4 linked regions of the Rhinolophus ferrumequinum genome follow. The protein of the gene in region 1 interacts with the protein of each later gene in a pairwise test. Links are inferred from orthologs where the notes say so. Each region holds a gene or a part of one and is shown in the gene's direction. Other genes may lie near its edges. The genes, in order: TNIK, SPTBN1, DPYSL2 and PPM1E.

Region 1 (7,293 bases):
CTGCAATCTGGGAGAAAACTGAGCACAATCTTCTAGCTTATTAATTCACCCTTCAGTCTAGCTTGAGTCAATATTGCATGGTGATTAAGAGCCTGAGTTCAAATTCTGGTTCAGCCATTTATTCCTGTGTTGCCTTGAGTAGGTTAATTAACCTTTCTATTCTTCAGTTTACTCATCTGTAAAATAAATATACTAATAATATTGTCTATTTTGTAAGTATAAAGATTAAATACGCTAATACGTGAATACTTGGGAGAGTCTGCAGTATTAGCTATTATTGTTTAATCTTTCTATTCATATAAAAAATTCAATAAATATATTCTTAATTAGTCCTCTAATTGGTTTGCTTTCATAATAATGTGGTTATTTCATGAATGTAAAGTCCTCTATTATCCCTCTGAGGATAATATATTTATATAATATATATATATTATATATATATTAAAACTTCTTTTTGCGCTATTAAAAATAACTTTGGGTGTTTTAATTCATTTGTTGACTGTAGTTAGTGCCTCTCTTTCATAGTAATAGGTTTCCACAAATGATTAGTGTTCTGGGTTATCTACTCATCTTACTGTTTGGAAATCTCATTTGCCTATTTGTGATGTGGATTCTAATTCTGAGTGTTTGCTTTGCTGAATGTGGTTGTTGGGAAGCGGGGCCGGAGAGGACATGGTGCAAGGCAGGGCATGCAGATAGTTTACCTTCTGCTTGTGGGTGTATGTGGTCCCATTTCTCTTAGCACTTGGTGATCAGTTCCTTGGGGTGATACCCTGTCTCCTTGGCCCGAACGCCCATACTCATAGTGGGTGTCAGGGCTGGGGGTGGACACATCCACCTGCTAATTCTCATTACCTTGCTTAATTTTCTTCATTTCACTTACCACCATCTAAAATAATCTTAGTTATCAATTAGTTATAAGTGTATTATCTGACTCTATGAAGGAAAATCTCCAGGGCCTCGTATTGTGTCTTGCACAGAGTAAATGATCCATACAGTTGTTGAATGAATGAAAGAATGAATGGATGCCATTCTTTAATCGTTCTTCATGATGAAAGTACCTGCTCTTTTTAGCCTTTGCCTCTGAGTTTGAAGCTGCCCCAGCTCTCACTCTGGTCCCACCCCATACAGTTTTGGTTTGTATCTCAACTGGCAGTCCAATCCTGCCTGTGTCTTATACGCTAGGAAGTCCTCTGAATTGCTAGACCATGGATGCTGCCTTTTTTGTCTTCTAGAACTCTAATGAATTTTTTAAAATATATTTTCTGTTATATTTAGGAATTTGTGGTGACATAAGATGTACAGTGTGCTTTTAGAAGCTCCACCAGCAGTGTTACTGATTTCCACAATGTTTATTTTAGTTGGATTTGACAATAAACAACATTGAACCTAATACAGAGAACATAACCCCCTTTGGAATTCTCTTTTTTATAAATATTTTTAAAACAAAAATATTTCAAATATACAAAAAGATACAGAGAACAATATAATGAATAGCCATTAGTGTAATGATCCAGATTTAGCAATTCCAAGCATTTAGCAATATTTGCTTGAGATATTTAAAAAAATAAATTAGACATCATTGTTGGAGCTCCTTTGTGCCTTCCCATTTTAGTTTTCTTCTTCCGTTCTTACTATCCTGAAGTTAATCTATATCCTTCCTGCCTGTGTCCATGGTTTTTATAGTTAAGACAGATATAAACAGAATACAAGCCTATGTCCATGCTTTTTATATTTAGATAGATATAAACAGAATATCGTATTGTTCTGCAGGCTTTCAAACTGCATATATATGATAGCAGTTCTTTCAATCTCTCGGATTACACCCAGAAGAAAATCTCACTTTGGTAAAATTTTGAATGACTTTTCTGGCTTTTGTTAACCTCTCTTTTAACAACTACCTAACAGCAGGCCTCAGAATAGAAGCCTGAAGCAGGCCATGATCGCTAAGTAGAATTTAATGATATTGCTTTATTTTCCATTATATTTATTTTAATGGTTCCCTTCTTCTTTTTTTCTTTTTAGCAAGTGTTGCTAGCTTTCCATTTATAGTAGTAACTTATGTTTCCTTTTAAATGTAAAAAAAAATGTTGATTCAAAGAAAATATTAAGCAAATAACAACAGGGCAGGAGGTTTACCAAGCTCTACCTGATCTGATCTGTCTTCCTCAGGCCAGTAACCACTATTACTCCACCTCTAGCACCAGCTGCTTCAAGTTTCCTCCTTTTCTTCCCTTAGCAGCTGGAGGTGCCTTGGCTATTGTACCTCTCCTCTTATGGTATTTCCTGCAGCCAGCACCCCTGCCTCTACCTGACTCTTGTCATCCTCCGGGCTCCTAGGAAGCCCTCTCCCATGTAGTACCAAATGACAGAATATATAGTTTTGTGATCTAACTCTAAATCCAAGGGTAGAATGTAGTGCCGGTATTACGGCATTCTCATGGTCTGAAACAGCATACTAATGCCGAAAGAAATGATCCATTTCTGATGTTTCAAATAAAATCTGGAGTATAAAATGAAGGTTCTCCATGAAAAAAACAAAGTTTATCTCATTTTAAATATGTTCGGAGTTTTAGCAATAGTGCTGTTCATAGATCTCAATACCTGATTTTACTTAATTTTATTCAACACTTGTCATCTAGATTAAGGGTAAAAAAGGCACTTAGATGGGAAAAATAAGGATAATAATAGGAAATGATAGTTTTCTACGTCATTTCGACATTACTCGGTGGCTTACTAAACCGTTATTTACCACCCTGAGCTGGATGATTTTATTAAAAAATAAGAGATCACATAGAGCGTTTTGAATATAACACGTTTAAACGTTTGTCGTTTTAATGGCAAAAGCTCCTAAACAACTCTGTGGCCATTGAGCTGTAATCTTATTCAAGTTTCATGATGCACAGTGCATATAAACACAATAATAACAAAAACAGCACAGCGCCTATCGAATGCTGTTTAAAAGCCTTCTAATGTCTGCAGTCCTGACGAACTAACTGCTTGGGCTTCCATCCATCCATCCATCCATCCATCCATCCATCCATTCATTCAAAAGCCTTATTCTTAAGCTGGTATCTACACGATAAAAAAAATCCTCAATGCATTTGGCCAGAAGTAAATCTTATCTTAACAGAGGTGCAACGGTGATGCTTTCAAAGCTACTGCTGTATTTGAGCAAAAGTTCAATTTTAGCGTTTCTTTCTACGTATGTATTCAGGATGGGCAAGGCTAGGGAGGGCAGTGGCAGGGCTGAGGAAGCGACTTCACACTCTTGATTACTCTTGAATGTCATGTTTACCACTGTAAATGTTCAGCCTTTAAATGAGAAAGCGGGTGGAGTGGGATTGCTCTCTGGTCGCACATCTCGTCTGTTACATCTCATACGCCAGCCAAACTTTCTCCATCAATCTGGGTAGATCAGCCGCGGTAACGTTCCCTGAAAGACAAATGTAGAGTCCTGAGTCGGCGTGCGCTGCCTTACCCAGTGTTGCCTTTGGAGTTACCTGAAGAATTAGAGCTAGTGCACCCAGAGAGCAAGCTTCTCGTTTCAATTCGGTTGTTTCCGTGGGGGAATTGCGGCACGGGCAGGTCCTGGGTGTGGCGGTGCGAAGAGGGAACTCGGACTCCCAGCTTTCCCGCTTCTGGGAAACCTTCCTACCCGAGTGACCCGCCATCCGGGAGCCCGCGGGCCGCTGGCGGACCCCACCTAGCCGCGGGGGCAAATTGCCGAGGCGCGGGGCAGGGCGCACCGTGCGAGCGCGCGTTCTCCCCCATTCGTTCCGCGGCTGGAGGCGGATCCCTTTCCTTGCACACAAGTCCTTATATGCACCGGTTGCACCAGCCTGCGTTACTCCAGCCCCACAAATAATTAATGGGGGAGGGAGGGCGTCGCTCTTTTTTTTCCCTGGATTTTTTCAGCGCTACAGCATTTGAACCCTGCCGAGAAACCGCCAGATGCGATTAAATGGCCATATTGCTGCAGCGCACGAATTGGACATACAATAATGTGTGTGTTCAAATAGCCCCTTTGCCTCTACGATAAGGACCGCAGGGTTAAGAAACAACTCTTCAAAGCCAGCCCTATTAGTCCACAAAAGCCTGGGAGGAAAGGGTGCCCGCCCCTCCCCCGTCCACTCTGGTGCAGAGGGAACGGGTCAGGAAGCGCGGCCTCTCCCCAGTCGGAGGCCACGCCTCCTCCGCCTCTTTCTCCCCTTTACTCCTCCCAGGAAGCGATGATAGACAGTTCTGTGTGGTTCTCCACCCCCACCCCCCAGCTGAGTGGAGGAGTTGATGTGTCTCATTATAACAGCCAATGCAGCCGCCATCCACGCACAAGCAAAGAAGCATGTCCCATTTAAATACACCCACGCAGCCCCAGCGCCTTTAGCCGATCAGGGCGCGCAGCCCACACGCACCGCTGCTCCGGGGTTGGAGATCAGCGCAGGTTGGGCTCCTGGACCGGGCGGACCCAGGCGCCGAGGATCAGGATCCGGCGCAGTGGAGCCCGGGCGGGCGGGGGAGGCTGGGCCCAGGGGCCTCTGGCGCGACACCCGCATGAGGACGCGAGTGAAATAGACCAAGGTGGAATTTCCAAGGGAAAAGCTTCGGGGTGGTTTTGGTCCATTTCTCTGGCGAAGAAGTAGACATGGCGAGCGACTCTCCGGCTCGCAGCCTGGATGAAATCGATCTCTCGGCTCTGAGGGTGAGTGTAGAACGTTTTCTGATTTCTTTCTCGTGGTTTGGGTCAGGGTGAATGGGATCGGAGCGTCGACTGGGGCTGGTAGGCAGAGGCGGGCGAATGCGACGCGGAGGGAACCTGGGTTCTCGTTTGGATTTGGGGGCTGCTGAGGTGCTTTCTCCGAAGCCCCTAGAGCAGGGGCTGTACGGTACGTGTCCACTGGTTGTGGCCGAAAAACCCCCAGGAGCGTGTGGAGCTTATGCCAGTTTCATCTTAGACCCTTGTAAGCGCATTAAAATGAAAGGCTCGTGTGTGTGTGTGTGTGTGTGTGTGTGTGTGTGTGTGTGAGTATGTGTGTGCGCGCACAAGCCCGGGGCAGTCGTCTCGTGCCAAGGCGCGAGACCTGATTCTTTCTGCAAAAAGAATAACAGCGTGAATAAAGGTACTGGCCCCTCACGTTTTACAGTTACCTGTAAGATGACATTATGAGCCTGGTGGTTCCCACGGAGTGGTCCCTGCTTCTCCGAAGGGGCAGCTGTTTCTATGCTGGTCTTGTAGATGGCAACGGCCCCTCTTCCCCCCTTTTCTGCCTTCCGCGCCCCGACTCCCTCTCAGCGCTCTCTTAATGGCCAGTCTGCCACTCACCTTTATTTATGGTTTAAACTGAGCCCAGCCTGTGCTTTCTGATTTTGTGGCTGTGACATTTCAGTTTTATGGCGAACTTAAGCAGGTGAAAGGGATGTGTTCTCTGCTGTTCCCCAATCAGACCGGAACTCCCGAGTGTGTGTGTGTGTGTGTGCGTGTGTGTGTGTGTTTTCCCTGTCTGTGGCCAGTCCTTTGTAGAGCACCTCCCAACCCTCAGCCCCACCGGCTTGCGTTTACCTTCACGTGAATTGCCTCAGACACCGTTTCATTGTATTGACTAAGACATCACTGGTATAGAATCCATTTTGCTGTTGTTTTGAGACCAGAATCCCAGGAATCCCAGTGCAGCCTCGACGCCTCCCCACCCCCACCCCCCAATCTCAACACTCTCCTTCGGGGAAGGGGGCAGAGCTTTCTTGCCATTTTAATTGGATGCTGCCTGCCGGGAAGGGGATGAGGGGTGGGGGTGGCCACAGCAGCAGGGGTCTTAGAAGGAGTAGATTCCAATTTACAGCCGGCTTCTTCCACTCCTGAACCAAAAATAAAATTTTAAAAAAGCAACTGTATATACAGGAGACATGGAGGGTGGATGAGACCGAATTGATGGTGGCTCTCAAGGCAGGGACGTGCAGGACGGCTGAAGCTTGGAAGTTCACGTTCTATCCTGAGGAGTACATTGTTAGACTGTACTGCATCTTGGGGTTATATCCCTGAATCTCCACTACTTCTCTGGATACTGCCTCCTTCTCCACTGTTATTTTCAAGAGCTATCTTTATGGTCAAAGTGTCACTTTTTCTTTAGTGTCATTAATCCTCTTTCCCTACCTAGCTCTCTCTTTTTTAACTCCTCCTCGCCTTCTCTTGAATCGTTGCATCCAAAAGGTGAGGTTTCTGCAAGGCAGTCAAGGGGTTGAGAAGGAACAGAGATGCCATTTGTAACTGGCGTTTTTGATAGCTGGGCAGCAAAAGCTCATTCATGCATCATTACAGTAAGCTGCCTATTTTACTGCCTTTGAAATGCCACATGCAGAATCCCATGCCCCCTGGGCAGCTGGGGGTGGGGGTTGGTAACAGGGTGGATGCTCTGGCTGAGTCTGTCGCTTCCTTTACAGACTGTGTGTGTATTCATTTGCCCTACTTTCTGCACTGGGAGTTGGTGCCAGCCAGTTAATCAGGTGGATGGATGGTCCAGACTTCAGAGTGGGGGAAAGTGGCAAAGGCTGGGGAAGGCATCTGAACAATGGGCGAAACGTGTGAATTTCCTGAGTCAGAATCTTGACATCGCTCCTGTAATGGAAAGCACTCTGAATTTAAGTTGGGCTTGGTCAGAGGTGTCTCTCGTGGTTTTTCTTGGGGAAGGGTTTTTGAGATACTGAGCACAGAGCCTGCAGGGCTTGTGGGCAACCCTGAGCGCTCGCCAGCAGCTCTGGAGGCAGTTCACACATGGGAGACCTGCACTCCTGAGATCTATATTTTGAAAAAATATCTTTGCAAGATTCACTGAAATTTGTGAATTGGGCTGAGTGCTCTGCCTCTGTATTTGTGCCTGCAGGAGGTATGGAAAGAGGGAGGGAGGGCTAAGGCTAGCCCAGGAGACTGGAGAACAGGCTGCCTGCTGCCTAGAGGACTTACATGCAGATGTGGAGACAGTGGGAGGGCTGGGGTCTGCCACCAGTCTTGTGGTAGGTGAGGTGTGTCGGCCAGGAGTGGGTCCAAAGACCATATAGGTAATTTTCACAAATCAGAGGACAGATCATCTGTCTCTGTCTTCCCCAATTAGAAGTGGGTTCATTGAGATGAGAGGTTTCATGTGTTCCTAAACCCTCAGCCTGCCTGCTGAGAACCTTTTGGGAATGCCTGACCCCTGAAATGCAGCCAAGGTCAGTGGCTTCTAGGAGAATTTGCTGCAGCCTTACCAGTCCCTTGCTGTTTCAGTGGCTCTTTAATGTACACAATCAATGCTCTTTTTG
Region 2 (7,984 bases), on another chromosome or scaffold:
TGTATGTAGATTTAATAAAATTCACAGTTAAAATAAGTAGATTCAAATACCCAAGTTGTTCCAAACATACTTAAAAGTTTTCTAATAACTGAACATAGAATCAAATTTTTAATTTAAATTTAAATTAATTAAAATTAGGTAAAATTAATCCTCTTTCCTGCCCCTTCCTTCAACCCCTGGGAACCACCAATATGTTTTCTATCTCTATGGATTTACCTATTCTGGATATTTCATTTAAACAGAATTTTACAATATGTGACCTTTTGTGTCTGGCTTTTTTCATTATGTTAAGTGTACATACGCTAAGTATACTACAATAAGTATACAATGAACTGATATACTACAGTATGTATCAGTGCTTAATTCCTTTTATGGCTGAATAGTGTTCCATTATATGGATATACCACATTTTGGTTATCAATTTATCCATTGATGGATATCTGAGTTGTTTCCACCTTTTGGCTATTGTGAATTGTCCTACTACGAACATTCATGTACAAGTGTTTGAGTACCTGTATCAATTCCTTTGGGCATATAGCTATGAGTGGAATTGCTGGCTCATATGATAATTCTATGTTTAACTTTTTGAGGAACTGCCAAACTATTTTCCATAGCAGCTGCACCACTTTACATTCCCACCAGCAAGTATGAGCCTTCAAATTCCTCCACATTCTACCCGATACTTGTTATTTTCTGTATTCTCCCTAGGTTTACTGAGCTATAATTGACATAGAGCAGTGTATAAATGTAAGGTGTACAGCATAATTATTTGACTTGTGTATATTGTGAAATGATTAATGCAGTAAGTTTAATCAATACCCATCATAGCATATAAATACAAAAGAAAAAGAAAAAAGCTTTTTTTTCCTTGTGATGAGAACTCGGGATTTACTCTTAACATCTTTCATATATATCTTACAGAAGTGCTAACTATTGTCATCATGTTGTACATTACATCCCTAGGATTTATGTATCTTGTAACTGGAAATCTGTACCTTTTGACCACCTTTATCCAAATCCCTACCCCACCGCCCATCTGATCTCTTCCATTTAAAAAAAAAATTGAACCTATCCTAGTGGGTATAAAGTGGTATCTCACAGTGGTTTTGATTTGCATTTCCCTAAAGACTAGTGATATTGAACATATTTTTATGGGCTTGTTGTCCATTTGTATATCCTCTTTGGAGAAAATTCTATTCAACTCCATTTTTGTTGAGTTGTAAGAGTTCTTTATGTATTCTGAATATTAGACCCTTATTAGATGTATGATTTGCAAATATTTTCTCCTATTCTGTTGTCTTTTCACTTTCTTGATAATGTCCTTTGATACACAAAAGTTTTAAATTTTGATGGCGTCCAGTTTGTCTATTTTTGTTGTTGTTGTTGTTGTCATGCTTTTGGTGTCATATCTATCAATTCATTGCCTAACTTTTGAAGCACATTTCAAAAGAAAACAAAATGATAGGTTTATATCTGGAAAAAGACATACTTAGATGTTTTATTTTACTTGAAATTTACATTCACCTGCTAATTGGTTGATAAAGTGTTTATATATGTTTACTGAAAGTCCACTTCTTTTTTGCATAAGCCAAAGCTGATACACATTTTTGTTTTCTTTTAAGTTGATTTAGAACTTAGGGACACTTGCAAAGCATCCTGAACTGAATATTTTAAGGTTTTTATGATATCTATCCCTCCCTACTTTTTTATTGTTATCTTGACCACATATATTTTGATGGCAGTATTTTTAGCCTTTATCAGACAATTCAAAAATAAGCAACTTAGTTTTCACTAAAGAGCTCTCTTTTCACACTCATATTTAATTGGTTCATGTAATATTTAATTATAATAAGTGTACTTATTAAGTATAATAAGCATAACTAGCATAAACAAATTTGGGAACAAACAAAACTGACTTGGTAAATACACAGCACAACTGGAGGGAGCTGAAATATACAGTTGCAGCCGACTAGCAGAGTGTGTTTTGTGTCCATGGACATTGGTCAATATGCTTACCACACAGAGTGAACAGTGTAATCCAACAAATGGGTTAAATGAAGGAGCATTAAGAGTGCATCTGCTCTACTATTCTAGGAGTCTAAATTCAGAATTACTTGAAAAGAATTTTTTTAAACGTCGTGATATATACATAGCATAAAATTCACCATTTTAATTATTTTAAGTGTACAGTTTAATAGCATTAAGTACATTCACATTGTTGTGCAACCATCCCCACCATCCACCTCCAGAACTTTTCTCATCTTGTAAACAGAATTACTTTTTAATTATTAACATACAATGTCCAGACACACAGCTCTTATATGCTAGCTTCTATGCAGATATCTCAGACATTTAGTAGCTATGTAAAGACACTTAGTACTGGTGTCTCAGTTTTCTCATCTATAAAATGGAGTTAGTATGTACCCCAAAGAACTGACAAAAGGACAAAATGATATATGTGCTAAAAGACTTTAAAAACTAGAAAGAATTTTATAGTTGCTACTTATGATTATTATTATTGTTCACAAATTTTGAAGGTCCTTTATAACCACAAAAATGTTGTAATAAGTACTATTTCTATGGGAGACAAAGCCATATACAATCACATGGTTTTAAAAATGGAGACTAGAGTGTTACAGACATGCTATCAATGAGTTCTCTCTTAACGATGAGTTCTAGGTTCCTTTAAATCAACCTTAATTCTATTGTGACGATAATAAACTTCAGCAAAGCTGCTTTGGAGATATTTGAGAACACTCCTTTTTGTTACCATCATTACCGACTGAGGCTTTTTGTCTTTTCTAGATTCTGCTCTTCCACAGAAGCATATGTCTTCTCCAATAATCTCTCCAGATTTAGACTGTCTTTTCTTTGATCTGCTACTTTCTTTTTGTTCAGTGTACACTGTGCTTTCCTGGGTGATGATTTTTTTCCACCGAAAGGTAAGAATTTGAAACCGTGAGCAGGTACTTATAGTGAAACTCTGAATCCTTGTTTTTTACATTTTTGGAATACTTACTGCCTCTTTACTAGAGTACCTAGCTAAGGTTGTATGTGGTCTCACTTTTTGAAGGAAATTTTTAAAAAGTAAGTGGTAGTGGAATGAGGGGAGATGACTCATCCACCAAATTGAGATTTATTCAAGTACTGTTATCTGTGATAAAGGAAGCAGTTAAGAGTCACCATTTCAGAATAGTATTGGAAGAATTTAAACTGAGGCATTTCCCAGTACTGCCATTGTTCTCTTTGCTATTTCATTAACATTGTGGGTGGGGACGTGCTGGGGGCTATGCCCAAAATAAGTGAAAGGGAAACAACTTTCATTCCTAGTGGATTTCCAGTGTTGCCTAATATGGGCAGCGCTTACCTGTTGATTCTGTTCAATTCAACAAAAAATTTTTGAGCACCTCTGAAGTGCCTGCTATGTACAGTGAACACAGAACCCTGCTCTTGGAGAGCTCACCTTTCAGCTGTGTTAATAACCTTCTGAGAAAAATGTTAAATTATTTGCCTTCCTCAATTATTTATATATCTATATCTCAAATGTAAACATTGTACAAACATTCAAACTGATGGTGAAGGCCTAAAAGGAAGAATCATCTTCATGAATTGCTGGGGACAATTTCATTTAGTTTTATTTAAAAATATTAATTTAAAAATACATACAAAAATATAAACGCATCAAGCTTCAGTTCTATTGATGCGAGATATAAGCATGATCCAAACTATTTGTCTGTCTTTTATTTCTCTTTTTTATTCAGGGGTTGAGGGTTAGGTCTTTAGGGGAAAAGCCTTGGGGCTTTTGCAACCAAGAAGGGCCTCTTCCACAGAAGCTTACAGTGGGCACCGTTGGGCACCTACAGAGCAGGCAGAAAATCAGTTTCTCCAGATTGCTTTCTAGAGTTTCTAGTCTTGGTCATAGTGATGCACCGTTTTTTCCTCTCAAAAGTGCTGGTTCCATAATTTCTACATAGCCTGGGGGATTGACAGGGTTGGCCAGCTGGTTGAGAAGGGGCGAACGTCCGGTGTCCATCTCAGGATATGTGGAGAGGGGGAGAACTCAAGTCCTCAAGCCATCGCGGGGCCTTCACTGCAGCCGGGACGTCCTTACTCTCGAGCAGTGTCTCGGGAAGAGCACCCACTTCAGGTGAAAGTGAGCCAGCGTTTGGGTCAGAGGCAGGAGTTGGACGAACCACTTGTAGTGTATGTTCCCAGCTACCCAGAGGGAAAGGGTGGAAAAGCTCACAAAGGAGAAAGAGCTTGACTTTGCCGAGGAACAACCCTCCTCCCCCCATCGTCCAAGGTTTCCCACGGAGAGGTCACCATCGCTCTTTATTAGGCTGGGTGGAACCTACAAGGCACCACCACCTAGATCTGAAACCAAACCAACCAAACGACGTTCTAAAACCTCCCTCAACCCTCTCCGTAGCGTTCCAAACGCAACGTCGCGGGTGAAAAGCGGCTGCACAAGTCACGTAGATAATTAGGCTGCCCCTTTCCATGGCGATAATCGAATTAGCCTCAAATTAAACGTGAAATTGGCCCTCGCCAGCTGTGGGGACAAAGTCCCTATTGTCCCTTTGCCTGGGTAGTGGCAGCGGCGATGCCCACTGTGACCAGGCTCTCCCTGGCCAGTCTCGGCTACAAGGAACGAGGTCGGCGCTGGGCCCCGGCAGAGCTTCAGCTGGGGAGAGCGTGAACGCGCCCGAGGTTCGGCTCGCGCGTGGAGCAGGCGCCGGATGGGCGGCTGCGGGGCTCCGGACAGGCACTGAGGGCCCGGGAGAGGGAGGAACCGAGGAAGGAAGGAGGGTGTGCGGGAGAGAGCTGTGCGCGCGCGTGTGCACGCTCCCGGCGCCGGCGCGCTCCCTCTCCCCGCCCCTCGCCCCCTCCTTGCCTGCTCCCTCCCCTCCTTCCCCCGCCCCGCGCTCCAGCCCAGCCCCCGGAATCAGTGCAGCTGTTACCGTGCAGGCTGCGGATTCCTCCAGTCCCTCCCTCGGCCGCCTCTCCACCCGGAGCGAGCGCGCAGCCCCGCGCAGCAGCGCCCACCGGTCCCGTCCTGTGAGCCCCGGCCCCAGCCGCAGACAGCCCCGCGGAGTCGCCTCCCGGCCCACCCGCCCGGCCGCCGAGGAGCGGGAGGAGGACGGGACCCCGACGCCCCCACCCCTTATCCGCGGGAGGTAGGTGAGGGGCCTGAGGCTGGAACATGCCAACTCACTGGGGCTGCCACCCGGACGGGCTCCTGGGCGGCAGGCGGGCGGGAGGAGGGGCGCGGGCCCAGTCCGGCGGACGCCGCTGCCCGGCTCCCCACGGAGCGGCGTGGGGGCGGGGAGGCTGCAGAGCCAGGGCGGGGGCGGCACCAGGAGCCTGGGTCTCCAGTGCTTATTAGTGCTCGAGTTTTGCGGGGCAGGGACGGCAGGCCCCGCAGTGAAGCGGCCGCAGTGAGGCGGCCGCAGATCCTCGGTGCGCACCGCGGCCGCCCAGCCCCATCCCCGGCGCAGTGGCGCCTATTTCTCCTCCCTATCTTCGCCGCCGTGTCCCTTCATCTGGGCGCAGCGGCCTCTGGCGCGGGGGTGGGTGCACAGTGGGCAGCAGCGAGGGTATATTTTCGGGTGCCCTCCTGCTAGTCAGGCTGGTGGGGGAGCCGGGGCGGCATTGACAGGGCCCGGCTCTGCGCTTAACGGTACGGAAGATGCGGCCAGGCGTGGTCCCGGCTGCGCCGCGCTGCAGCTGAGCGGGAGGCGGCGGCCCGGTGCCCCCTCCCACCCATCCTAGTGTCCGCTCGCGGATCCGCGCCCGCTCCCCCCCCCCCGCCCTCCTGCTGTACCCACTCTCCCAGGGCTGGGCGTGAGCCGCCTGCGGGCGCGGAGCCGCCGCTGCGCCCGCCCTTCAGCTCCTGCCACCCTTTCTTCAACAGGTTTGTACCAGCGCGGAGACCCTCCCGGCCTGCCTTTGGGGTGGTGGGTTGGAAGCCCCTCTCCTTATCACCCCTTACACCACGCCCGCGGCCCTCTTTTTGAGGGGAGCCTTCCCTTTGTTTTTGTGATAGGAAAGATGCCAAATGCTATCAGATGGGGTGGGGAAGTGTTGCAGGGATCGGTACACAAACCGTGTCCATTATTTTTCCAATCAAAAGCCAGGCCACATAGTAAGTGAGGAGAAGGCAAGTGTAGGGCGCTGCCGAGGAGGAGAAAATGGATTCGGTGGGTTTGTTTGGGTGGGGATGTGCTTTTTTGGCAAGATGGATGGCTCACGGTGCCCTCGCCGTGATGCAGCACAATGCAGCAGTATCGCAGCCTCCCCGGGTTCTCGCTGGCGGGGCTTGGCACGGCCACTGGGCGCCTGCGGCCCCCACCCGGCCCCACCCAGGCCCGGGGTTGCCCTTGGCAGAGGCTGGGAACAGCATCTACCTTGTCTTGCTGTTTCAGCGGGATGTGGTGTCAGGAGGACCAGGTCACCTAGCTGTGAGGGTGGACTCTTCTTTTTGGGGTGACCCCCTCCCGCCCCGCCTTTTGGGCTGTATCCGATGAAGGGGCTTCCTGCGGCGCTAATGCGGGTAGAGGGAGCTGGCCTGCGGCTGCGGATCGGAATCTGATCTCGGACTAAGGGACCTGAGCTGTAGGGAGGGGCTGCAGGGAGGACGCGCGGCCCAGCGGTGTGCGGAGGCGCTGGTGCAGTCAGCATTGGGAGTCGCAGCGGTTTTTTGTGGATCACTCATAATTTGTGACTACAACCCAATTATCCATCGATTTCTTCCTGTATGAAAAGTTTGTGTTTATTGGAGCATCGTAACTATTACATTGCAGTACCTCTGTCTTTGGTCAATAATAAGAATATGAATTTTTCCTAGAGAAAACTATTTTTTGAAATAAAACGGTTACTGTTTTAGTTCATGTCTCCCTGAGACATTTCTAAAAATACTCACATTGAATAGGTTTTTAAAAGGAACTTAATATATTTTTTGATGTGTAGTAAATGATTAACCTGTATTGGCATTGCTTTCATCGTTTGCGTTTTCTGTAAATCAAATTACACATTTGGATGCTTTATTAGGGATTATTAGATAAATGAGTGAATTGTTACTCAGATTTTTATCGATTTAGATAGCCAAGTTCGTTGTGACTAATGGGATTGTGATGGTAACTGACTTCATTTGTGTTTGTTTATATGTATTTTTATACATATTTTTTGCAGATGTCGTTGGGGAGGGAGTTGAGAAGTGCAGACCACCGAGGCCTGTGTGGCTGGTATCTGGTCAGAAGGAGACGGTTGCCAGTGTTCTCATCTGTTTAGTCTGGGCTAATACACAGGGAATTTCCCATCTAAATGCCACTTCTACAATTCATTTATTCATTGTGGGATGGCAAATGGAATACATTTCAAATGTCACCCAGATTCTTCTAAAATGTTTAAGGGAAAAAGGGAATTTCAGTATGCTAACTAACCGGAAGAGAAGGTCAGTATTTCAAAGCAAGGGTGTGTCTACTTTTATTTTTTAAATCTCTCATGAATTCAAGTTGGTGGCATTTGATTTCACGTGGCTCTGCAGAGTAGAACTGAATGCAGATTGTGTGGTTTATGTGCATTATTTTGAGTTTCTCTTAAAAGAAGGCCATTAAAAATACAGAACTTTTTGGATTTTGGCTTCATCGGTGTCTGCTTGTATAAAATCGTGTTGCATAAAGATGTTTGGGAGTATTGTTCCCATGATTATTCAGACATTTTGGATTTACTGTGTTGTAAGAAAATATCCTGTGTTGATGTCACAGGAGGTTTAGCTGTTCTGACTTACACACCAGGTGCAGAATTCTGTTAGGTTAAGTAAGCTCTTTGTAACTGTTCTCTCTGGACTGACCTAAACCTTCATCTGAAAGTAGGAGAAGTATTGGGGCACTGAAGAAACTGTGGTCACTAGGTCTTCTCTGTTGTGCAGGGTTTCTGAAGCGGTCTCTTGGGCGAGAATACCTAGTAACAAATGTCTGTGATG
Region 3 (7,481 bases), on another chromosome or scaffold:
TTTCTAGGAAGAGGTTCAGTCTTTCAAGAAATTCAGTGTCCTGGTTCGGGGTTTTAAAGACCACTTTCCAAGTGCCCCCCTTCCCCTGAACCTCACTGGGGATCACTGAGACATCAATGTCCTCTATGAGCTCTAACAAGACAGCATTTGCGTTCTCTTGCTTCCTGAATATTTTGCCGAGCAGCCTATACCTGCCCAGAGACTTTAAAGTCTCCTGGAGAACCTCCTGAATCTCCGTCTCATCACATCCCACCGGAATACCCATCACCATCAATGATTTCCGATCATCCACACTCATTATCCGGCACCAGTCCTCCAACAGTGCCAGTGCCATCTTCACGAGTATGTATTTGCTCTAACTCTACGGATACCAATTAGTTTGTGGTGTAGGTAGGCACTGCCTTAGGATTTAAAGTATCCTTTAAATGGGCTCCTGAACCTTGAACCCACCAGTGAATGGGTCCAGGAGAGGTCACTCTAATATCAGTCTCAAAGTCTTCTGGACGGACCAGTAAAACCCTTACTTGTCCAGTGGCAAGCACTCAGCACTTCCAGTTATGTCTCTAGAACAGACCCAAGGTGTGTGGTTAGTGTCTCAGTTATGACAGCGCCACTGTCTGTGGCTCTGCAGTCCCGTGGGTGCTGTTTCTCTCCTGGATGCCAGCAGCCACGTGGTGGTGTTGACCCTCTCTGACCAGCGGAGAAAGGCGAGAACTGCTTTCACACTCTCCGGGTTTCTGCCGCCTCACCTCTCTCTAGTCAGTGGGGAAACGCCTCTGCCCTGGCACCCAGAACTCCTGGAGAGAAGTCTCACAGCAGAGTGGCTTGGACTCCTAGTGAAACAACGGTCAGTTACCACACAGCCCTCTCCTTCCCAGGAAGCATCCACACTCTAGTTACAGATGGAAGTGAAGATAGACGAAGGTTCTGCCTTACGTGGTATTTGTGCTGTCCCACTCTGTCAGATCTCTTCTTTGCTCCTAGTGATTTTTTTTCCCCTCTTGGGGACCCTCCTGCCATCTGGCTTCCCCACAATATACTCATCAGACACACCAATTAATGTCTGAGCCCACTTATGGCCAGGATTCAAGATCTTTCCCACGGGAAGAATGATATGAGGAGATGTGGCTGGATACCTGTTTATGTGTTCCAATGTTCCATGAGAGTCGATGATCTGATTTATTCAGCTTCTACTATATGAAGATGTCACCCAACTCCATACAATGGCGTGTCTGCATCCTTCTTAGCTCTGGCCAAGTCAAGCTGCCCTGTTGCACATAAATAATAATGGTGTATTTTTATAGTTTGATAATATCCAATGATGAAGACTGTCAGCGAGTTTATTAAAAAATATGACTATCCTTCACAATTCAATCTACTAAACAATATAGTTGCTTCAGTTCTTTGATGAAAAAAGTCCAATTAGAAATCACTCGAATACTTAAAACCAATTAATGTCAGTATAACAATACAACTTATATAATATACTTTAATATAATATAATAATATAGGTATAAGAATTTAATATACATTTAATAATTTTTGAAAATCTCAGGGCCAAATAAGTTAAACTTGGATTATGAATCATGCTCTTTTGTTATGTCTGGTCAGGCTAGGCAAATGCACAAATAGGTGTTTCTTTTGCTATGAATGTTAAGTTACTAATAAGACAGTATTGTTGTAGCATTTGAACTTGAATGGATCATTTGAGGAAAAAAGGAAAAGAGAGAGCATATCTACAGAGAGCCAGTGGAGAGTGGGTAATGTAATGTAAAAAGGGAAGCGTTCCTAAAGTCTCCCAGTTCTGTTGTACCGCGTGTGTTAAGCGGCCATGATCATTCTTCCTTAGGCCTGAAACTCTCCATCAAGCCGAGTGAGGTCCATATGCCACAGATGCCAACCTGTAGCCATCGTGGCAGCTATTCCTGCTACAGGCACATTTCCTCAGTCCTTCTGGAAGGTGCTGGCGGCATGGAGTGTGCCCGAGGTCCAGAAGGGCAAAATGATGGATAATGCCCTGGCCCAGCAGCCTCATGGATCTGAGCCCAGTGACTTCTCCATGCCTCCCTTTCCCTTTCAATGTGGGGGTGACCTTCCTCTCACGTTGTAGTTTTAGAGGAAACATGAGATGTAAAAAGGCATCAAATGTGCAGGAAGAAACATTTCCAAGGTCTATGGAACAACTACCATGGCTTCTTCCTCCAAATGCAGTCCCTACCTGCAAGGTAACTGTCAAATAAAAAGATGGCAATTGAACCACCAATTTTGATACACAGTAAGTCCACGGAAGGAAATATTTGGATATGGAAAAAATGTAAAAAATTTTGTATTTTCTAACATAAGGATAATTTGGAAAAGGGACCATACTTTCAGGTGGAAGACCCCCACTGGGATTGTTGGATCATTTAATTAGTAACCTTAGGCAAGGCGTCTGAATCTCTCTAAATCTGTTTCCTACCCTGGAAAGTAGTGATGGAAAAGCACTCCTCTCACAGGCTGCCGTAAGTAGGAAATGATGTAATTCGTATGGAAGCACTTTATTCAAATTAGAAGCACATCTGGTGCTGAGTCTGAATGTCCACCTGTGGGTCTCTCAGCTCCCTACACGTGTATCGTTCTCCTTCCTCCTTCTCCCCTTCTCATCAGGAGACTCCTTCCCACCTATCATGGTGGGCTCTTCCTCAAACTGTGACTGGTGGTCCTCCAAATTTAACTCCATTCACCAAACTATCCCTCACATTTGGGTTGAGGGAGAGTATCCACATCGAATCCTAATAAGGGCAAGAGCTGACAATGGGACAGAATCCTTGGTCACACTTTCCGGGGCGGCAAACAGCCTCTTTTAGCCCAAACCCACCCTCGTTACTGAGCATGCCCAGACTTCCCTCTAGAACCACCAAAGGATGGGCATCGTCTTTGCAGGATATTGCCACCGTAGTAAAAGGGGCGGGGCTGTAATCGACCAGGGGCAAAGACTGATACAAGGAAAGTACGTGGGGATGGGAGTGAGCAATGAAGCGCGCTCAGTGACGGTGTTGTTGGCACATATCAAAACGCTCTCTGGATATCCACCAACCAGGTAGCTGCGCCTGGTCTACCCGCACATACACAACCACGTCTCCGCACACCGTTACCCTGCTTGGCCTCATACAATTCAAAGCATTCAGTCACAGCCCCATCTCTTACCTCACACTGGACTTGCGCGGGCACATATGCCCCCACCCCACCGCCCCCGCACGCGGCTCTGGCGCAGTGCGCAACAGGGGCGGGGGTACAGGGGAGGCAGACAAGTAAGGGCTGGAGATTTGGGGAGTGGATTGTAATCTGTGCCTTTCCCTCCCTTTGGAGGGTGGGGGCATAAGATACCAAATCAGAACATTCTCCTGGGCCCTTCGTGGCGCAGTGGCGCAATTACGGTACGTGGCGCCCTCAGGCACCCTCTCTATGTATTAGTTGTGCTGGGCCGGAATTTGCACTGTATTCTTGGCTACACTCGCCAGCACGCAGACCTATGTCTCTTTATACCCCACATCCACCACCATTTGCTCCGCCTCTGCATTTCTCCCTGCCGTGCTGTGCGCCCTCCACAACTGTGGATGCACTGAGCGAGAACCTTCTCGTTTCACTCTCTGCCCCCAACAGCCCTCCAAAGCCCGTAGGTAGACTGAAGCTTTGGTGTCCCGCGCATCGGGACATGGCCCCCACCTCTCCGCACGGCCTGCGCCATTCCCTCCCCATCCTCACTGCGGCCTCTTCCCTTCTCCCCCGGTGTCTTGTCGCCAGCCAGTTTGTTTCCCTTTCCTCATCCATCAGCTCATGCCCGAGGTAAGAGGAGGGAGCCCTCCCCATAAAGGGCCCTAGCCCCCGGTTTACCTCCGCAATGCGGTGGGGGAGAGGCGCCTGGGTCGCGTAGGTAGAAGGGCGCGAGGGCCAGGGGCTGGCTGCGCCCTCGGGTCTTCGCCCAGCGTGCCTATCCCATACTCACCCTGGAGCCGAGAGCTGTTAGCGGGCCCTCCGCTCCCCATCCATTAGCCGGTGGTCTGGCAGCTTCACTTCCGGAGCGCGGGGCTCTGGGCGGTGCAACCCTCCCCCCCTCCCTTGCGCTCAGCTCGGGCCGGAGCTCCCAGCGCCTCGCCCCGCCCCCGCCGCGCCCCGCCTGCACCTCCCTCCGCCTGCAGCTGCCGGGAACCCGCAGGCAGCCTGTCACTCCCGCTGCCGCAGCGGCCGCCCTCCCAGACCCAACTTTGCAGCTCGCCGGAGCTCGCGTGGCGGCGGGGGGCGTGGGCAGGGAGGGGAAAAAGAGGGGTCAGGGGGAGGGACCGGGAGGGAGGGTCGCCCGCTCACCAGCCCTCCTTCCTTTCTGTGCACCTTGCGGTAGGCAGAGAGCGGCAGCCGCTGCAGAGGGTTGTGCACAGAGAGGCAGACTTAGGGATCGTAGACGGACGGGCGGACGCAGAGGACCCTCCCCGAGCCCCCCGCGCCATGGCCGAGAGGAAGCAATCCGGGAAGGCGGCAGAGGACGAAGAGGTCCCTGCCTTTTTTAAAAACCTGGGTTCAGGCAGCCCCAAGCCCCGGCAGAAATTCTGTGGCATGTTTTGCCCGGTAGAAGGGTCCTCGGAGAACAAGACCATCGACTTCGACTCACTGTCGGTGGGCCGGGGCTCGGGGCAGGTGGTGGCTCAGCAACGGGACGTCGCCCACTTGGGTCCCGACCCGCAGCCACCGTACTCCCGGCAGGGCCGGCGCGCGGGTGGGGAGCCATCTGTTGAATCCGGCCGGAAGGTGGAGATCCGGCGGGCCTCGGGCAAGGAAGCCCTGCAGAACATCTACGACCAGGTTGGTATTGGGTGGTGGGGGTGTTTGAGAAGGAGGACCCGGCGCAGAGATCGCCCCTCCGTCGCCCCCCTCACAGCTCGGTGGAGAACCGAGCATCCCAGCGTGCCCACCGTCCTGCCCCTCCCCGCATATGTACACGCACCCCACCCAACCCGCCCCTTCTCCGCGAAAGGTATGGAGAGGCGCGGGCTTGACTGTGGCAGCCGTGCGCCCACAAAGGCTGCCCGCGCTTTCCTGGGCCTGATGGGTGGTGATGGTAAAGGTTCGGCCGATCCTCTGCTTGGGGGTCGCAAGGTGGGGGATGGGGATGGGCCGCGGTTCCATTCTTCTTAAATCCTCCCGGGCGCCTTCCGATGGCAACTGTGTCTGGGTGCCCCACCCTTTTTTGGATGCAGCTCTGGGCATGCAGTGGAGGGTTGCATGAAGGCCGGCGGGCTCCCTGGGGGTCAGGAGGGGCGGGGGCTTCGACGGCTGCTCCCCGCCGCGCCCTGCGCGCGCTCTCCTACAGCATCTCCTTCCTTGCCTTCCGCGCTCGCGTCCTGAGCTGGAGGCCAGGACCATGGTCAGCGCCTCCCGGACCGCCCTGGAGAATCTCATCACCCTGACTCCAGTGTGCTGCGTGAGAAGAACCAGGCAGGCGGTGGAGTCCCCCGAAGAAACCCAGACGCTCCTAAATAGCCCATGTGGAGAACAAAGTTCCGCTAAGTATTAAAGCAAGGGCTTCCCAGCGTGCTCCCCCCAACCCGCCCTATGTGGGAGGCGCTTTGGGGATAGGGACCAAGTGGATTATGTTCAAAGAGTGAAAAGAAAAGGGGAAAAAAACCTTCACATTTTGGATCCAGTGTCAAAGATGGATTGGCACCCTCCATACAGTGTTAATGGGGAAACAAAGAGGACCAATTTGGTAAACCTTGATTTTAGAAAATGTTCGTCATCTCTGGCGAATAAGAACAGCGTGCATTTTAAGAGCAGTCGTCTTCTCACACCACAGTTGTTTTTTTTTTTTTTCTTTATCAGGGTGACCTTCATACTTGTGCATTCCCTCTAGCCCCCCCAGAGCCTTAATTCCTCAACTGATAAATTACAGTGTGAACTGTTTCAACATTTGTTTGCTGTTTCTTTCCCAGGCCCATTGGTGAAAATGAGAAATCAGTCAATGATTGATTATTTATTGAATACTTATTGTGTGCCTTGCCTTGTGGGGCAGGGGGAAGTTAGCTATATAGAAAAAGTTCAAGGTGATTTCTTCTTACGGGGCTTTCAGAGTAGTTGGGAGTGGCCTATACATAGTCACTGAGTGATTCCACAAGCATTTATTTGCCGGGGCTTCAGACAATGTGCTTTTAATGAACACATCAGAGAACAACGAAGAGTTGGTGCTCATGGCACAAACATGTTGCTCTTTCCTGATGTGGCATAGAATTTTGCAGCTTTTCACTTTTGTTGGACCAATTCTAGGAAAGGTAAACCATCTGCTGTCATTTTCAAAAGGGGGCAACTAATTACTTAATTCCTTCTCTCCCAGCCCTGTGCTCTGATTTATTCATATGGGGGAGGGGTCACCGGATATCCGCGTTTCACTATCAGTCAACCAGAAGAACTTAATCCAGAAAACTTACTTTGTACCAAGTGATCAGACAGCTGAAGTAAAAGCTTCTAGTAATGTAACTTAAAACGAAAGCTGGGTGAGTGTGAAATGCTTTCCTACGTGAATACACTAGGTGAGGGCCAAACCATGATCATTATAGCAGGAACAGCAGAACCTCTAGTGCCACTCACACGTTTGTGTGAGTGTCCTCCTCTTAAACAAGTTGTGCTGGTAATTCTAATGTCCTAAAGGGCGCAGAGAAATGCCTCACGATAAGGAAGAGATCATTTTTAAAAATGGCCGCTCAAGGGGTGCTGGTTGACAGTGGTCTTCTTGATAATGATGGCAGTGAATTAAAACTCAGATTTGAAAGGCAAAGTTTCACTGGGTTGAATAACACGTCTCTTTTTCTATGCATTTAGAAGTTCCAATATTTGATCATCAGAGTTACTTGTTTGAACACTTTCTAAATTTAATAGGAACGATAAACCTAGAGCACATGGAGAGGGAGATTTGAAGAGGAAACCAAACCCTAGGCAGTTTTAGCCTCTGGAAACCCAAAGTTGCTTCAGTTGCCTGGTTATTAGTTGCAGAGGGTGATTCTGGCTTGGTCTTTCTGCTGCCTTCCCTGAATTTTCATTTTCAATCTTGCCTTATCATGTAAGGGCTGTTCCTTTGGGATTTGTTTCATTCATGACTAAGAGTATTTACCAGGATCAGTACTTAACAGTGTTTGAATATTTCATGACTATTCAAGACACAAAAGCCATTTGTGTGTGTGTGTGTGTGTGTGTGTGTGTGTGTGTAACAATGGTGATTTCCAAAAGTACAGTTGGGCCCACCATTTTGACTGAATCAGGTAGCCATTACTTACCGTGTTTCCCCGAAAATAAGACCTAGCTGGGCAATCAGCTCTAATGCTTCCTTTGGAGCAAAAATCAATATAAGACCCGGTCTTATATTATATTATGTTAGATTAGACCTAGTCTTATAGTAAAATATTATATAATAATATATACAATATTATATAGTAAAATATATTACGGAAAAATAAGAC
Region 4 (7,201 bases), on another chromosome or scaffold:
AGGCAATTGGTTGCACAAGTGATAGAAGAGCTAAAAAAGCCAAAAGGGAAGGTAAATCAGTGTCTTAGTTCATTTGGGTTGTTATAAGAAAAATACCATAGACTGGTTGGCTTACAAATAACAGAAATTTATTTCTCACAGTTTTGGAGGCTTGGAGGTTGAAGATTTGGGCTCTGGCTAATTCAGTGTCTGGTTGACAGATGGCTATCTTTTTACTATGTCCTCACATAGCAGAAGTGGAAAAGGTCTCTTTTGGACCTTTTATTATTATTATTATTATTATTATTATTATTATTATTATTGGGGAATATTGGGGAACAGTGTGTTTCTCCAGGGCCCATCAGCTCCAAGTAGTTGTCCTTCGATCTAGTTGGGGAGGGCTCAGCTCAGCTCCAAGTTCAGTCGCCATTTTCAATCTTTAGTTGCAGGGGGTGCATGCAGCCCACCATCCCATGTGGGAATTGAACGCCCAACCTTGTTGAGAGTTCGCGCTCTAACCAACTGAGCCATCCAGCCACCCCTGGACCTTTTCTTTTTTTTTTAAAGGCACTAAATCCCATTCATGAGGGTTCCACCCTCATGACTTAATCACCTCCCAAGAGCCCCAGCTTCTAATACCATCACCTTGGGGGTTAGGATTTCGACATATGAATCTTTGGAGAACACAAATACTCAGTCTATAGCAGTCAAGAGTAGGAAGCTAGAAGCCATTACCATCTCTAGGCTGATGGACAAATGGAAGAAGGTGATGTTTCTAGAGCTCAGGGGCTGGTGTCATAGGCAAAAGCTGGAATCCCAGTGGATGTGATTGGGGGAGCAAAGCTACAAAGGAAATGCAGCAGGCATTAGGACTGGTAGGATAGGGAAGAAATATCCTGGCTTTTCTCCTTTCCTCTCAGTTTCCAGTTTCTTGCCAATGCCTCCCACTGGGCAAATCTCAGCTGAAAGTCAGCTGTCAAGGAACAGTAGTGAATACAGCCTGAAAGGGTCGGCTCTCCCCAAATATAGAGCAGAACAAGGGAGGAAAAGAAATGGATGTGAAAGCAAAAAGGACAAGGAGTAACACAATAATCATTTATTTCTAACTTTGAAAATCAACTTTATTGAGGTATAATTTACATATGATATACTTACTTAAAATGTACTTTGATAATTTTTGACAAGTGAATACACCTATATAACCACCCAGTCAAGATGTAGAATATTTTAATCACCCCACAAAGATCCCTCTTACTCCTTTGCCATGAATCCCCCAGCCCACCTCATGCCCACTCCCAAGCAACATTAATCTGCTTTCTGTCACTATAGGTTAGCTTTGCCTGTCCTAGAATTTCACATAAATGGGATCATAGAGTATACACTTTTTTGTGCCTGGATTTCCCCCCCTCAGTATGTTTCTGAGATTCATCCATGTTGTTGTGTTTATCAGTAGTTCATTTCTTTTTATTGTTGAGTAGTATTCCATTGTATGAATACACCACAATTTGTTTATCCATTTACGTATTGATGACATCTGGGTTATTTCCAAGTTTATGAATAAAACTACTGCAAACATTATGTACAAAGATTTTTGTGGTGTGTGTGTATGTGTTTGGTGGACATGTTTTCATTTCTTGTGGGTAAATATTTGGGAGAGGAATTGCTGGGTCATATGATAAGAAACTGCCAAACTCAGCAATTCTTTATAACCTTATAAATATCATTACCGTAAATGTCCGCGAAAAGACATTGTGCATTTCCTCCAAAGAGCTAAGGATTAGAGGGAGAACAATTTTTATGAGAAAAAAATTCTTTACAATCTCAAAAATATTTAAATACCCTCGATAACATATACTTTTCATAGCTTAATATTTTTTAATAACTAGTAAAAAAGGGGATTGGGGAAGTGTAAGAGGAGAGGAACTGAAAAAGTAAAGCAATGCAAAATAATGACTGAAAAGATTTCTTGACAATGGCAAAGTCATCCTACACAGCTGCTCTGAGATCCCAGCACTGCTGTCAGCAACCTTCTGGCAAAGCTACTCTGTCAAATGGATGCACTAGAATCCATACTGATCTTTTGTGAAGGAATATCTTCATTAATATAAGCAAACATGTCTCTCATTTATAGAAATATAGAGGTGTGGGCTTTTTCTTTTACTCTTAGTAGTAATGTTTCCCCAACACATAACAGTTCCCTTTGATATGTGGGTTGAGTCATAAATTAATGTCACAAATAAATGTCACCTAGATGAGGAAGGCAACTACATTAACAAAGTAGGAAGGTGTAGCTTGATATGAATTGTTACAGTTGACAGCTATGTACTCTTGAACTAAGTGTTATCTTTTCTAATTCTGAGATGTTAAATAGTTGTTAGAATGTTAACCTGGACATTTAGGTGTACAGTCTTAAAAGTTTTGTCAGTCTTTTCTAGATATTCTGAAATGGAAATGAACAGGTGGATTGAAAACAAAGATAAATGAGGAGTTTAAAGACTTTCTTGGCAGGAGGTGAAAGACTTTCTTGGCATCTCAGAGAAGTTGCTCTACACTGGTGATATTTTAAACAAAACACAAATACATTTAGCTTGTGTAGAAACAGACTTATTTACGGAGTCTTTCCATTTACCTTTGAGACAAAAATAAATAGTTATAGGGGACTCATGCATTACTCACTCTACATTTTCTATCATGTATTATTTAATCTCAAGCTGGGAGAGAGAATGGACCTCTATTTTACATGATGCCACAATGTACATTAGTGAGCTCAGCCCACTTAATCTTAAAATAACAGTATCAGGTCAGGGATTTAGAACACAGTATTATATGAAAACAGTTGGCAGGGAGACTTCTCCTGCCATTAATAACTGACTAGAAACAGCATTTCAGACCCTAAATCCAACTGAAACCCAGAAACAATAAATGGAGAGGATGGGTTGATAATTTGTGAGTTTTTCAAAGTAGAAAAAGAATCACTATGTTTTTGCTGAATTATATGTTGCCATGGACATGGAAGTATGCAGTAAGGATGCTATCATCTATACAGCTGTATAACAACACAGCTTCTGCCTCTCCCAACCCCCCAGTAGGGCTCGAAAATAATAGGCTTGTGTGTAGTTTGGTAAGAAAATCAGAATAATTTAAAGTCGTTTCAGTTTCAGTCTAAGAAAGAAAGAAAAGAAGCTGGGGGTTGGGGAAGAAGAGCTAACAAAATGTATACATATTATGTAATAAAGTATATGTATTATGCAGAGACTAAAGAGGGGTGTCTTGGTGTGCTGGAAAACTAATGGCTTTGTAGTGAAAAGACCTGGATTTTGTTCGTGTTGCATCACGTGTGTGACCTTGAGCAAAGTCACGATGTCTTTAACGCTCAGTTTCCTCATCTGTAAATTGGAATCATAATGGTAATGTCTTTAACCTTGAGTCACTATTGTAAGGATTAAAGGGGTGAAAAACAACTTGTAAACTAGAAAAGCCTAGAAAACTAAGGCTTTACAGACATTGCACTGTTGAATCTTGAGAGGCAAAGAAAAGGGAAAAAGGCTTTGGAGGCTGACAACCTGGGTTCTGATTCCGATGTCATGGCTAGTAGCTTTGACACCTCCAAGCGAGTAAAGTATTTAAAATCCTGTTTCCTCTTTGTGAGAAATGAGGAAACACCACTTTCTTCGCAGAATCAAATGAGAGAAAGTATGCAAAGAAACCTACCACTTGGTAGGTGTTTGATGCCCTCCCCTGTCCCAAACTATCATACTTATTAAAGGAGTGTCATCAACAACAAAAGGTGTTCACACTGTGGTATCTTTCAACTGATTAAAGGCTCTAAGGGCAAGGCAGGAACAGATAAGGAAGACAAGTAAATCCAATCAAAGTGGGAACCAACAGCTAGACTTGGAGATGTCTTAGTTCACTTTATCCACTTGAGGCTATGGTAGCTATACAATAAAGACATTCAGAGTTGGAGAGCGGGAAGTCTAGCGTCCGTTCGACTACGCGGACTCGACGGGAGGGACCCTGAAATTCTTAATTAGAGCTGGTTGTCATGGCGACAGTCTCTAGGCAGCGTGGGCTGAGCTCTCTGTAGGGCTAGGAGGTGGGCCTCCGCTGGACCCTGAGCGCGCGCCCGCCACCAACTTTCCCTCCAGACCCGAAAGGGGAGGCGCGCTCCGCCCCCGCCCCCGGGTCGCGCACGTCCGCACTCGGCGGCGCGCACGCCTGCGGGAGCCCTCTCCAGGCTACCTAGTGCTGATCGCTCGTGCCGGTGCGGCCGTTAACCGCCCTTGCGGGAGCCCGAGGCTCGAAAGCAGCCCCCTCCGCTTCCTGGGCTTCCCCCCCCCGCCCCAACTTCCCGGTCGGCCCCGGGGCATGAGCAGCGATGGCCGGCTGCATCCCTGAGGAGAAAACTTACCGGCGCTTCCTGGAGCTATTCTTGGGCGAGTTTCGGGGACCCTGCGGCGGCGGCGAGCCGGAGCCGGAACCCGAACCCGAACCCGAATCGGAGCCCGAGCCGGAGCCCGAACTGGTAGCCGCTGAGGCGGCCGAGGCTTCGGTCGAGGAGCCTGAGGAGGAGGCGGTCACGGTAGCCGCCACGGAGGAGGGGGAGCAAGAGCAAGACCCCGACCCCGAGGAGGAGGCGGTGGCGGCAGCGGAGGGCGAGCAGGAGGAAGAGGAGGAGGCGGCGGCAGCCCCGGGGCAGTCGGCCGTGTTGCCGCCGCCGCAGCCCCAGCTGCCGCCGCTACCCCCGCTCCTGCGGCCGCTGTCGGAGCGCATCACCCGCGAGGAGGTGGAGGGCGAGAGCCTGGACCTGTGCCTGCAGCAGCTCTACAAATAGTTAAGTGGCGGGGCTCGGTTGGGGGTGGGCCCGCTGTCCCTGCCGCGTCGGCCCTTCAAACTGCTCTCTATTCCGCTCTTCACCCCCCCACCCCCCCGCCCCACACACACACCCGCGCCTGGCGCCGCTGGAAGCGCCCCCGCTGCTCGGACTGGGGCGGTAGGCTGCGTGCGAGCTGCCCACGCCCGCTTAGGTCCCGGTGCTCCCGCTGGTCCCGGAGCCGCTCCTCCGACCCCTGAGCCCTCCTGCCGGGCCCGGCTCTTTCTTCCAGCTTCATCTCGGCCGCCCACTTCTTGCTCCACTTCACCACACACACCCTTTCTCCTTCGTGCCTCCGAAGGTCCTTTCTTCCAGTCTTGAGAGTTCCCTCTTCTTCCCAGCTCCCTGCCTCTAGGAGGTTTTTCTCCCGCCCGGGTCTGTCTTTTTCTCTGAGCGCCTTGTTTGGCGGCTGGAGACGAGACTCGGTTCTAGGCTGCGCTGCGAGATGCTTCCTGCGTAACCGCGACAACAATGATTGTAATACCCGCCTGGTAGCCGCATGCATGAGGAGAGACTGGAGTAGGTTTTTCTGCCAGGCGCTCAATGTGGAAAGTGAAGAGCTCTTTAGATGGCTTAATCCATGGGCGCCTAGCATCCTAGTTGAAAGATATTTGATAACTCCTAATTGAGGGAAACGGGGAGAACTTGGGAGGGAAGAGTAAGCAAAATTTTACACGCGAGCCCTCAGGTGAAGGACACCTGAAAAAGCCCTAAGTCGTTAAAGTGGAAAAGTCAGGCTGGTTTGATAAAATTGCAATTAGATGCAGTATTTTCAGTCCATTAAGTAGATGGAGTAGGGGAGAGAAAGCAGATGGCTTAGCTACACAGATGAAAAGTCGAAAATAGAAAGGTCAAGGCTTTGCCTTTCATCCCAGTTCTGGTTTTTATGGGCTTGAAATAGAAACGGTTTACAATTGCGTCTCTTGCTAAACGGAATTGTTCTGAAATAATGACAGAGGAGAATACTAACAAGTTTCTGGAAACATTGGTAAACCTGGGAATGAATCTTTTGCCATTCTGCTGATAGTTGTAATGAAAGGTGTTACTCCGGACCTACAAAAGTTTACTACTGCACAATTCACTGCAATTAAATTCAGACTCACTTCTCGGATTTTCTCAGAAGCCTAAATTAAGAGAAGGGCCTGGAAAGGAAATGTTTTGTCTTTATCCAACGTGACCGGGGATCAAATCATTTTCCTGTGAAAGCAGAAGCTTATCAATAGGCAAAAAGCATTTAACATCTGCTGTAGAAGCAGGCTGTAGTGATGTTCCACACTTTATAGGCTATTTAAAATTTAATTTGGAAATACTGTCGATTACCAAAGTAATAATGCTTTTTGGGAAATTTTTTTTAAAAATTGGCATGTAATAGCACCACCCAGAGACAACAGTGTTAACATTTTAGAGTCTTCCTAGTGTTTGTAAATTATCATAGAAATGGGCGTATGCAATGTCATTTTTAAAGACGTTTAAAACTTCCTACTAAAAAGAAAATGGAAATGTTTACCAAAGTGGGAGAATTTATCTCAGCATCAGACTAATTCTATTTTGACAGTTCTTACCTTTACAAACACAGTTGCAGAATTAAACATACGTTTAAACAGAGAAGGTCCATTAAAAAGAGACTCATTAGTTTAGAACAGCCACAAACATTTGCCAGTAAAAGTTTTTTTTAAAAAATGAAACCTATATAAAGATGATGGCAGGTAGACATATGTTTTCCATATGGAAGGAAAGCAAGATTAATTTTGATATGCATAAAACTTGAAAAGGTAAAATGGCTATCTAATTGAGAATAGAAGTTTGGATTTGAAGTAAAACTAGCAAAATTAAAGGTGGAAAATATTTTGCTTTAAATCAGAGATTTCATCATTTATACTGTGTTTTATGCAGGGGCTATTAACCTATTTTTATTCAGATATAAAATGGCTGGCTTGTTCATGTAAAGTAACTTCAAAATTCTTAAACAGATACCCCCACCAAAAAAAAAAAACCCTAAGTGTTAAAAAAAAATACTTTTAATGCTTTTAGTTTTCATTTTGTTATTTATAAAAGGAAATCATATCACTTAGTTACAAGAATCAATATTGGAAGGCACTGTTGGGATAGATCATTTTCTGACCAAGCACTTTATTTTACAGACAAGAAAACTATGGATTCAGATTCAGAAATGACAGATTATGTATAAAAGATTCCAACATTTCTCAATATAAGTTATAATACTCATTTAAAACTACATCTTTTTTCTTATTAAAAAGTAATAAATGTTCACTATAAGAAGTGGAGAAAATTCACATTAGCAAAGAAAAGAAAATAAATACCAACCATCCAGTATTAACTGTACTTTTT

What was found.
Region 2: the proteins of TNIK (region 1) and SPTBN1 interact in a two-hybrid assay, tested with the Homo sapiens proteins (2 studies listed by BioGRID and IntAct). The link is inferred for Rhinolophus ferrumequinum from reciprocal best matches to the Homo sapiens genes TNIK and SPTBN1.
Region 3: the proteins of TNIK (region 1) and DPYSL2 interact in a two-hybrid assay, tested with the Homo sapiens proteins (2 studies listed by BioGRID and IntAct). The link is inferred for Rhinolophus ferrumequinum from reciprocal best matches to the Homo sapiens genes TNIK and DPYSL2.
Region 4: the proteins of TNIK (region 1) and PPM1E interact in a two-hybrid assay, tested with the Homo sapiens proteins (2 studies listed by BioGRID and IntAct). The link is inferred for Rhinolophus ferrumequinum from reciprocal best matches to the Homo sapiens genes TNIK and PPM1E.

What each region holds. Positions count from the first base shown.
Region 1 is NC_046285.1:71,065,081-71,072,373, forward strand, and holds the start of TNIK (TRAF2 and NCK-interacting protein kinase), read left to right. Parts: upstream 1-4,275; 5' UTR 4,276-4,645; coding exon 4,646-4,702; intron 4,703-7,293. UniProt on the Homo sapiens protein: Serine/threonine kinase that acts as an essential activator of the Wnt signaling pathway. Recruited to promoters of Wnt target genes and required to activate their expression. May act by phosphorylating TCF4/TCF7L2.
Region 2 is NC_046296.1:33,100,157-33,108,140, reverse strand, and holds the start of SPTBN1 (spectrin beta chain, non-erythrocytic 1), read left to right. Parts: upstream 1-4,978; 5' UTR 4,979-5,177; intron 5,178-5,894; exon of another isoform or gene 5,895-5,914; intron 5,915-7,984. UniProt on the Homo sapiens protein: Fodrin, which seems to be involved in secretion, interacts with calmodulin in a calcium-dependent manner and is thus candidate for the calcium-dependent movement of the cytoskeleton at the membrane.
Region 3 is NC_046301.1:40,889,252-40,896,732, reverse strand, and holds the start of DPYSL2 (dihydropyrimidinase-related protein 2), read left to right. Parts: upstream 1-4,467; 5' UTR 4,468-4,482; coding exon 4,483-4,836; intron 4,837-7,481. Other genes in the region: PNMA2 (paraneoplastic antigen Ma2), read right to left, coding at 1-334.
Region 4 is NC_046304.1:27,053,212-27,060,412, reverse strand, and holds the start of PPM1E (protein phosphatase 1E), read left to right. Parts: upstream 1-4,194; 5' UTR 4,195-4,357; coding exon 4,358-4,812; intron 4,813-7,201. UniProt on the Homo sapiens protein: Protein phosphatase that inactivates multifunctional CaM kinases such as CAMK4 and CAMK2. Dephosphorylates and inactivates PAK. May play a role in the inhibition of actin fiber stress breakdown and in morphological changes driven by TNK2/CDC42.